Linked DNA regions of Nothobranchius furzeri. The protein of the gene in region 2 interacts with the protein of the main gene of each other region in a pairwise test. Links are inferred from orthologs where the notes say so. Each region holds a gene or a part of one and is shown on either strand. Other genes may lie near its edges. The genes, in order: tprkb and tp53rk.

Region 1 (4,001 bases), on a different chromosome or scaffold from region 2:
TTGACATGTTGTTTAGCGCTTCCTTTCTCCCAATTCTGCTTCTTCTCTGCAACGTACCGTTTGTTTTCACTCGTAAGGCCATCAACGTGTCTGCGCGCATTCCAGAATTCAATGCATAATCCCGTGTGATCCCAAGCCCTATTGCTTTTACGCTTTTTTTTCTACCACACATTTTTCTTCCCTTTGCCTCTCTATTAATGTGCGTGGACACAAAGCTCTGAACAGCCAGCCTCTTCACCTTGTGTGACTTGCCTGACAACTGTCAGGTCTGCAGTCTTTCCCATTGTGTAGTCTACAGAACTGAATTGAGACATTTAAAATATTTTTGCTGTGTTCTGATTTATTGAACTGATTAGTGTGTCACCAGTTCAATATTTAACCTTTTCACAATATTCTAATATTCTGTGATACTGAATTTGGAGTTTCATTCGTCAGATAAAGAAAAACATTTCAAGTATGTCAGTCTGTGTGTCATGAATTATCTAACATACAAGTTTCACTTTTTGAATGGAATTACTAAAATAAATCACATTTGTCATGATATTTTAACTTTATAACCTGCACCCGTATGTAAGAGTACACCTAAATGTTCCAAATATTTGCTCCATTTGCTTTATTCTCCAGCAGAGGTTTGACAGGTAAAACAATTTCATGCTAGACTGATTTTTTGTTGTTTTAGTCTTCAGGCATTTTACTGACATTTGTCTCTGAGCACTTTGGATCTATCATTTATCAGAGCTGTGCATGAGAACCTGTTCACATGATTACACCCTGCTGGTAAAAAGACTCAGAGCCTCAAAATGACAAAACACATTCAAAATATTCAGAAAGAGGACCGTTTATTGTAGAAAATGAGGACAATGTTAAATATTGTTGAAGGATTTCTCTAAATGCCTTTAAACATTTTATCTGTATTACATAGTCATGGTATGGAACAAATCCAGGAAATAAGCAAAAAGCATGAAAAACATTTCACTCAGCACAGAGACAAAGCTTTGTGTGAGTGCGCGTGTCATTTGACACAAACTGCATCAAATCACGAGGGCTGCTCTGGTTTTCTGTCCTTTGCAGTTATAAAACATCCTTGATGGCCATTCTGCATACGACTGCATCAAGCAGAGGCCCACATTTCTCCTCCTGAGGGGTGATTTTAAACAGCTGTAATGAGACATGCAGCTTAAAATGAGTTATTTGACAATAACATTTACATTTCAAAGTGAGAAATCATGTCAAGTGATATTCCTAGTCGCTGTCAGCAATTCCCAGGGCAGCTGTGCAACTTGTCACTACCGTGTGTTTGTGTGTATGATAGTACTGTCCTATGACTCAGAGATACGCTAGATTATTTATCATATATTTATAAAATAAATATGTGCAGAATTTAAGGAAATTCTTGGATAATTTTACAGCATACAGTTTTAGCATTGTCCTGCTAAAACAAGAGAGGCTTTGCAGAAAAAGCACAAAAACTTTTATCAAATTTAACTTCTTCTAGATTTTATGACCTACTAACAGAAAGGTGAGTTTATCCATTTCATTTATTTATTTATTTTGTTTTTTTGAGGGGGTGGGCGTCCTAAAATTTAATTTTGCAATTTTTCAAGGGATAAAAAAAATGTTATTCCAATTAAACCTTGAAAAGCACAACAAAACAGTTTAAGTGTAAACTTTCTCTTGATTTTATGATGGAATAAATTATTGGAAAATATAGAATAATTGGTTCTCAGAAAAAAATCACTTAATTGAAGCATAAATTGCAAGCTCAAAGAAACAGGAAAAACTGATATTTTTAAAAATTAAGTAATAACATCACTACTTTTATGGATTTGGACATAAAAATATAAACTAAGAGAGTGAGACATCCTTGAACACGAGTCACACCTTTTTGATCTTGTTGAAGTCAGACAGCGAGGACACATCATCCACTGGAAGCTGCTGTCCATCCACCATTGCGCTGATGTCTGACACAAACTGTACTTCATCACTCTTGTGAACCACAACCACTAGGATGGAGTGATCACCATCTGAGATGCCAAATCTTTTAAAAGCCTCTGAGATCTGATTTTAGAAAGAAGACAGAAACCTTGGCAATGATAATAGCGAAACAAAAGTCAGAAAAATTCTAGTTTTTGCCTGAATATTTTCATTGTGTCACTTACATTATTAGTAGGTGAGAGATTGAAGATTATTTCTGCGTTTAAAGTTTTTGTCTTCATTTTCCCAGTTGTCTGTAGATGGACAGCTTTGTTTGCAGCCACCAACACTTGGAAAGGACCAACTAGCTGTAAAAGTACAAAACAAGTCTAACAATTTACCCGTTACAAGGATAATTTTCAAAATGTAAGCATGTACAAATTTTATATAAGAAGCCACTTTAAATTTTGACACCAAACAATTACAGTAGACTCACCATCGTGGGGTTGACCAGAGCACCGTTTATGTTGCCCTCCATGGCTTTTCGTCTCAACTCTGCTGCATTTTTGACATCCTTATAAAGTATTTGTGTCACTCTGGTATCGGGATACAGTTCCAGCACACGAGTAAGGTGCATGTTGAAAAATATTGGACAAAATTAGGTGGTTTTATTCCATTTATGGCGCTGCTTGTCGTTAACGAACAACAAACACGCACAGCCGGAACTAAAATACAGAAACACGATATGGAACGAAATGTCGTAAACCGAGGAGTTTATGCAAAAAATAACATTAAGTTAAACTGTCTAAAAATTCAATTAAATTGAACTAATTATCACCATTCATCACGCTAAATGTTTTTTTAACGAATGTAGGGAATACTTGTAACACTGGCAAGTGGCGATCCCCTGTCGGACACATTTCCAAGGCGGACATACCGTTGTTGAAAACAAATACTTCCGTTTAGCATCACTGAACGAACTTAATGCCGTTTCTCTCCGCGTTTCTGTTGTGGATCAGCTTTAATCCTCGAATTAGATCTTTATGCGCGATATAAAACAATACAATACTTAGTTTAGGAACAAACTAATTGTTAAATTTAGCTCCACCGTCCAACATGGAGAAATTTGAAGGGTACATCTTCACTGCCCTCTGCAGCACCAACTTCTTGATATCCTGTTTGGTGTTTTCTAAAATCACCCGAGAGCAGAGGGAGCCGTACATGGACGAGATCTTTCACATTCCGCAAGCTCAGAAATACTGCCATGGGAAATTTAACGAGGTAACATTATTTTTTTAACGCAGTTGTAGTCACGGAAACTGAGTAGATGATTAGGATTAGCCAACAGCTGGGCTTTTATTTTGTAATTTCACCAGTGATGTGGCAGCTTGTAGAGGTTTTAATCCCGTATTAGTTTTCAGCTTGGAACGTTTAATCTGGATCCAGAATATTTTTAGTGAACAAATGTTATTTTTTTAATGGTAGTTGAAATATATTTTTAATAATCTGATATGTTCAGTGAATGTATTAACATCTGACTGTAATATGAAATGGTAACGTAAATTATTAAATCCAATTCTACAATTGTGAAAAAAGAACCCCAAAAGATTTACTGAATGATCCAAACACAAAATTACTAAATATTTAAAATAACAAAACAAAGACTACATATAATTGCTGATCAATTTCAAATATACAACATGCTAAATATTGACAAAAAACATTGATTTACAACATGTTCAGATGTAAAAGAAAGCTATTACATTTATTAGACACAGCTATTAAATAGTGATGTTTTGGAGATCAGAAACAACTATTTAAGTTTTATAAATCCTGATTTAAACCAATCCCCACCTGACTAGCAAGTACAGAAATGTAGAGAAAGGTTTTGTATTTCTTGACAGCTGAGGCTGAGAGTCTCTTTGGTTTAACGTTTTTCTAATCTCATGTTGCTGACAAACCCTACAGTGGGACCCGATGATCACCACCCCACCAGGCCTTTACCTGATCTCCGTGGGCATCATAAAGCCTGTGGTGTGGCTTGCCGACCTGACGGGTGACATCGTATGTTCTGCTACTATGTTGCG
Region 2 (4,231 bases):
CTGGTAGGTGGCAGTAGATTTTATTCCAGAATGTCCCGGTACTTTTCTCCATTCATTTTGCCTTTAATAATTTGAAGCCTGCCAGTACCCCTTGCTGAAAAGCAGCCCCACATCATGATGCTTCCACCCCCAAACTTAACTGTTGATATGGGAGGTGGGCAGTGCCATTTTTTCTTCAAACATGGTGCAGAATGAGAGCCAAATTTATATTATAGTCTCCCAGTATTCCACAGGCTTCTCCAAATGCTGTTTCACTAACATTAACCGAGACTCAACAAGCCTTTTTGTTCAGCAATAGAGTCTTGTGTGGTGAGCATGCATGGATGCCATGATGGTTCAGTGCCTTGCATATAGTTTCCTTTCGAAAAACAACTGTGCCTGCTGATGCAAGGTCTTCCTGAAGTTCTGCTCCGGTTGTTCTTAACTCTTGGAGAACTTTCCTGATTGTTCTTTGGACTCCTCGTAAAAGAATCTTATGTAGTGCACCTGACTGTGGCCGGTTTATGGAGAACTGATGTTCTTTCCATTTCCAATTTTCATTACCTCCCCTCCTAAATACTCTGTGAGCAGCAAGATTTAGCACAGTTTTTTAATTTAGTTCATGAGGAATGAAAGGGCTCTTCTTTAAGTTGGCTTCTGGAATAAACATCTCAATTCCAGAAAAGTCCAAAGTGTCTAAATCCAATTTAAATTTGTTTGCTGATTTTTTGGAACCTTTTTATACCCAAAGAGTAAAAGGTCAATAGAATACTGTTGAAATACTGTAAAACATTACAAGAAAATCTAGACATAAAAATATGGAGTTGCCCAAAACATGCTAGTTTAATTATAGCAATATTCAAGCCACACTGTTCAACAGATTAGCAGAGCAAATGTTAGCTAAACTACTGTTAGCTAATGGAGAGATTTTCCTGAAAAAGAAAAACTTGCATGATTTTTTTCTACATATGAAATCAAGTAGTGAAGTGGACCAAAAAGTAAATCACATTAGGATTATTGAAACTACTTTTTATTATAATAAGACATTTGTTCAAAATAATGTAGAATTTCTTGTTCTGCAACAGAAACCCCCTTCAGCCCACCATGGACCGCTTCCTGCCTCTGAGCCTGACCTCATCCAGCTTTTTGATGACCGCTGGAGACTTCTTTGATGACTTGGTGTAGCTCTGCAGCAGTTTTTCAAACAGCACATTTGTGTTGGGGTGACTACTGAGGAATGCCTTCTCTAAAACATACAAGTCTACTCCCTTATCCTCTGGCAAAGAGGAGATGTAACTGAGGCCAAAGTCAATAAGGACTAGGTCAGACTCTGTGTCCTGTGAGCTGCACCTCAGCAGCATGTTGGAGGTGGTCAGGTCTCCATGGATGACATCCTCATCATGCATTTTGGCTAAGATCCGGCCGATTCGCTCAGCCAGCTGCTGCAGCTCCAGCTCCTTACAGGAGTTAGCCTGTTGTGTGGAGACTATGTGGTCTCGCACAGTTGAAGATCCTGCAATTTCCTCCATAAAAATGCAGTGGGAGGTGTAGTCCACAAAGTAAACCACTGGAGCAGATATGCCTGTGGAGAAGACACAGTTTTATGTGATGTCAAGGATGTAGGAAAGTTAAGCTAGAGACCTGCATTAGCCTTTGCATCCAGAATGATGGGATCATTTTCATGTTTCGTCTCATTTTCCTTATAAATAATAAATCCAATCAAAGTCAAAATCACGCCCACGTCCCAGTGCTGCTGTGACTGAATTAACCTGTCCTCATACCTGCAAACTCAGATGGGGACAACTAAAATCAATAAACTGGGGTGTCTTTAAATGACTAAGGCTGTAGCATACTGGTGGCCATTTCATACCAGAAAAATACTATCCACATTTCTAATATTGCGTTTTAACATGGTTAAATACTATCTGTATTTATGTTTAACTATATACACTTAAACTCATCTCACAAAAAAGAAAAGGTTGAAAGGAGAAAAACTGTGGTACATGTTTGATGATGAACTCAAAATCCCTGTGAGATGTTTCGCTGTGTGCAGCACTCCCACAGCTTTGAAACTGTTTTTGGCATGCTCTCTCCCTGACTGTGATTGGTCAAATGACTATAAATAGGCATTTACTAGGTTTTTATAGCTATTGGGCATTTTAAATCAAATTTTAATCATGTCATTATGATCATTTGGAGCTGCACCTGCTGTGATGTAGGGTATAAATATTGTTTAAACATTCTGCCTTTAGAGTGAATAATTAAAGCTGTATAGGTGGTCAAGATGAAAGGATGAATGGAATCACCTTTGAAACAATCTAATCAGAAGCTAACTCCAGCCTGGTCTACACTGTAATCGGACAAACGTTTCTACGTGAGCTAAATAAACGTAATGAAAAATGAGCCGTGGGACAACGATACGTTTCTATGAAAGATGAAAATTATCTTTAATCTGTGCATAAGACTCTTAATCAATAAGTCTATACTGGTATAAATCACATAAACTGCTGATTAAACACCATGGAAATGTTTCAAGAGTGGTGAAATATCATGAATGAGCTTTTTTTTTTTTACATAGTTAGTGATTTCTAACTTATCTGGCCAATTTATTCAATTTAAAACAGTTTCTTAGCCAAACCTTGAATACTTATGCAGTTAAATGAGGAGGGGTTTGGTTTAGTGAGGATCCGGTATCACCGGGACCGGGCAGAGCCCAGAAGGAGTACCTGCTCGCCGGCAGCGGAGGATGGAGCGGACCTCTTGAACTGTCCTGCGATGGGTCAGTTTCTCATCCAGCACCGGGTGTCGGTAGCGTTTACGGAACCTCTCTTTCACTATGGTCGGCTTACCGAGAAACTGTGCCCGGTACACGCGGCCTTCTGCTCCTTGTTTAACTAAATCTGCTTTACCGACAAACTGGGGAACCGCCATGTTTGCGTTCTTCTTCTGTGTTTGGTTGGTTGGCTTTATTTGAGAACAATGCCACACAGCGGCCACAAAGGGAACGGCACGGTCGGTGTACTTCGGCTTTGGGAAGTGAGACCCATCCAATATGGCGGTGACGCTTTTACGTCCTCAAATGGTACGTCTACGTCATGTCTGTGTTTCTGAAGTTTGGCTTTTTTACAGTCGACCGTGTGTCGATAGTCGCAAGTTAAGGTAGCGTAATTTTCTGACTATGAAGTTGTCCTTCACAACTGTCCTGCTGAGTCGTTTTAAATTTTAAAATCGAAACAAAGATATTTGTCTGCGCTGCAAAAATGTTATATGATGTTGACGTTGTATAGTTAGCCTTTTGGCTAACGAGTTAGCCGCGGAGCTAAAACTATCAGCTTCCTGGGGTTGAACAGATTCGTACAATTATTGTTGTTTAAATTCACTGATGCTTTTTGGCCTTTAGGTCCATTTTAAAAATACCACCACGCTATTCCTACAAACACATTTAGTATGGTATTGTAGCTTTAGCTAAACACGTGATAATGTAGTTTGGCCAGCCATGCTTATGGGATGCAATGTGAATAGACCATAGACTGTACATAGACAGGACGAGTCTGGCAGGTGAAAAACGTGTTTTCCTTACAGTCTATAAAACAAACATGAAGCCAGATTAGCTGTCAAGAGTGTTAAAACTAGTCCAAAATATAGTATGACAATAAATATGAAGTTTTAGAAATAGTGATCAGTTAAGAGCTAAACCAAATGAATATTAACTCAGATTTGTCCTTCGTTCAATCTGTATTACATTTAATTTGTTTTATATTACTTATCACTGTCACAATGTTGAGTGTTGAACTGGGACCCAAATGCAGGTGGACAGGCAGCAGACTAGCAGGCAAAAGAACAGTTTAATATGGATAATGGTAGGTAGGGTGGCAAATCAGGTTTGACACGGTGAGAATCTGTCAAAGACAACACACCAGCTCAGTGGCCTAGTGCTATGAATGTCTGCCCTTAGACTGGGAGATCCGATTGGGGTTCAAATCCCTGGTTGGGTGGTCATATCCCAATGCCTCCCCGCTTGACACTCAGCACTAAGTGTGGCAGAGTTCCCGAGTGCAGCAGTGTCTGCAGCTCACCGCTCCCCACAGGGATGGGTCAAATGCTGGGGAGAAATTTTGCCACACCAGTGTGTGTGACGTCTATTGGGACTTTAAATTTTAATCAAGCTCGGGGTATACATAAATCAAGTAGGTACGATAACCAGGGGCAGATGAATCCAATAAACACTTGAAAATGGAGACAAGAGCAGATC

What was found.
Region 1: the proteins of tp53rk (region 2) and tprkb interact in binary tests that used the Homo sapiens proteins (3 or more experiments, as listed by UniProt). The link is inferred for Nothobranchius furzeri from reciprocal best matches to the Homo sapiens genes TP53RK and TPRKB.

What each region holds. Positions count from the first base shown.
Region 1 is NC_091741.1:55,582,467-55,586,467, forward strand, and holds tprkb (EKC/KEOPS complex subunit TPRKB), read right to left. Parts: upstream 2,820-4,001; 5' UTR 2,552-2,819; coding exon 2,411-2,551; intron 2,283-2,410; coding exon 2,160-2,282; intron 2,059-2,159; coding exon 1,882-2,058; intron 1,159-1,881; coding exon 1,072-1,158; 3' UTR 823-1,071; downstream 1-822. Other genes in the region: alg10 (dol-P-Glc:Glc(2)Man(9)GlcNAc(2)-PP-Dol alpha-1,2-glucosyltransferase), read left to right, coding at 3,031-3,195, 3,883-4,001. UniProt on the Homo sapiens protein: Component of the EKC/KEOPS complex that is required for the formation of a threonylcarbamoyl group on adenosine at position 37 (t(6)A37) in tRNAs that read codons beginning with adenine.
Region 2 is NC_091753.1:42,148,550-42,152,780, forward strand, and holds tp53rk (EKC/KEOPS complex subunit TP53RK), read right to left. Parts: upstream 2,911-4,231; coding exon 2,706-2,910; intron 1,562-2,705; coding exon 1,074-1,561; 3' UTR 799-1,073; downstream 1-798. Other genes in the region: wdr53 (WD repeat-containing protein 53), read left to right, coding at 2,959-3,061.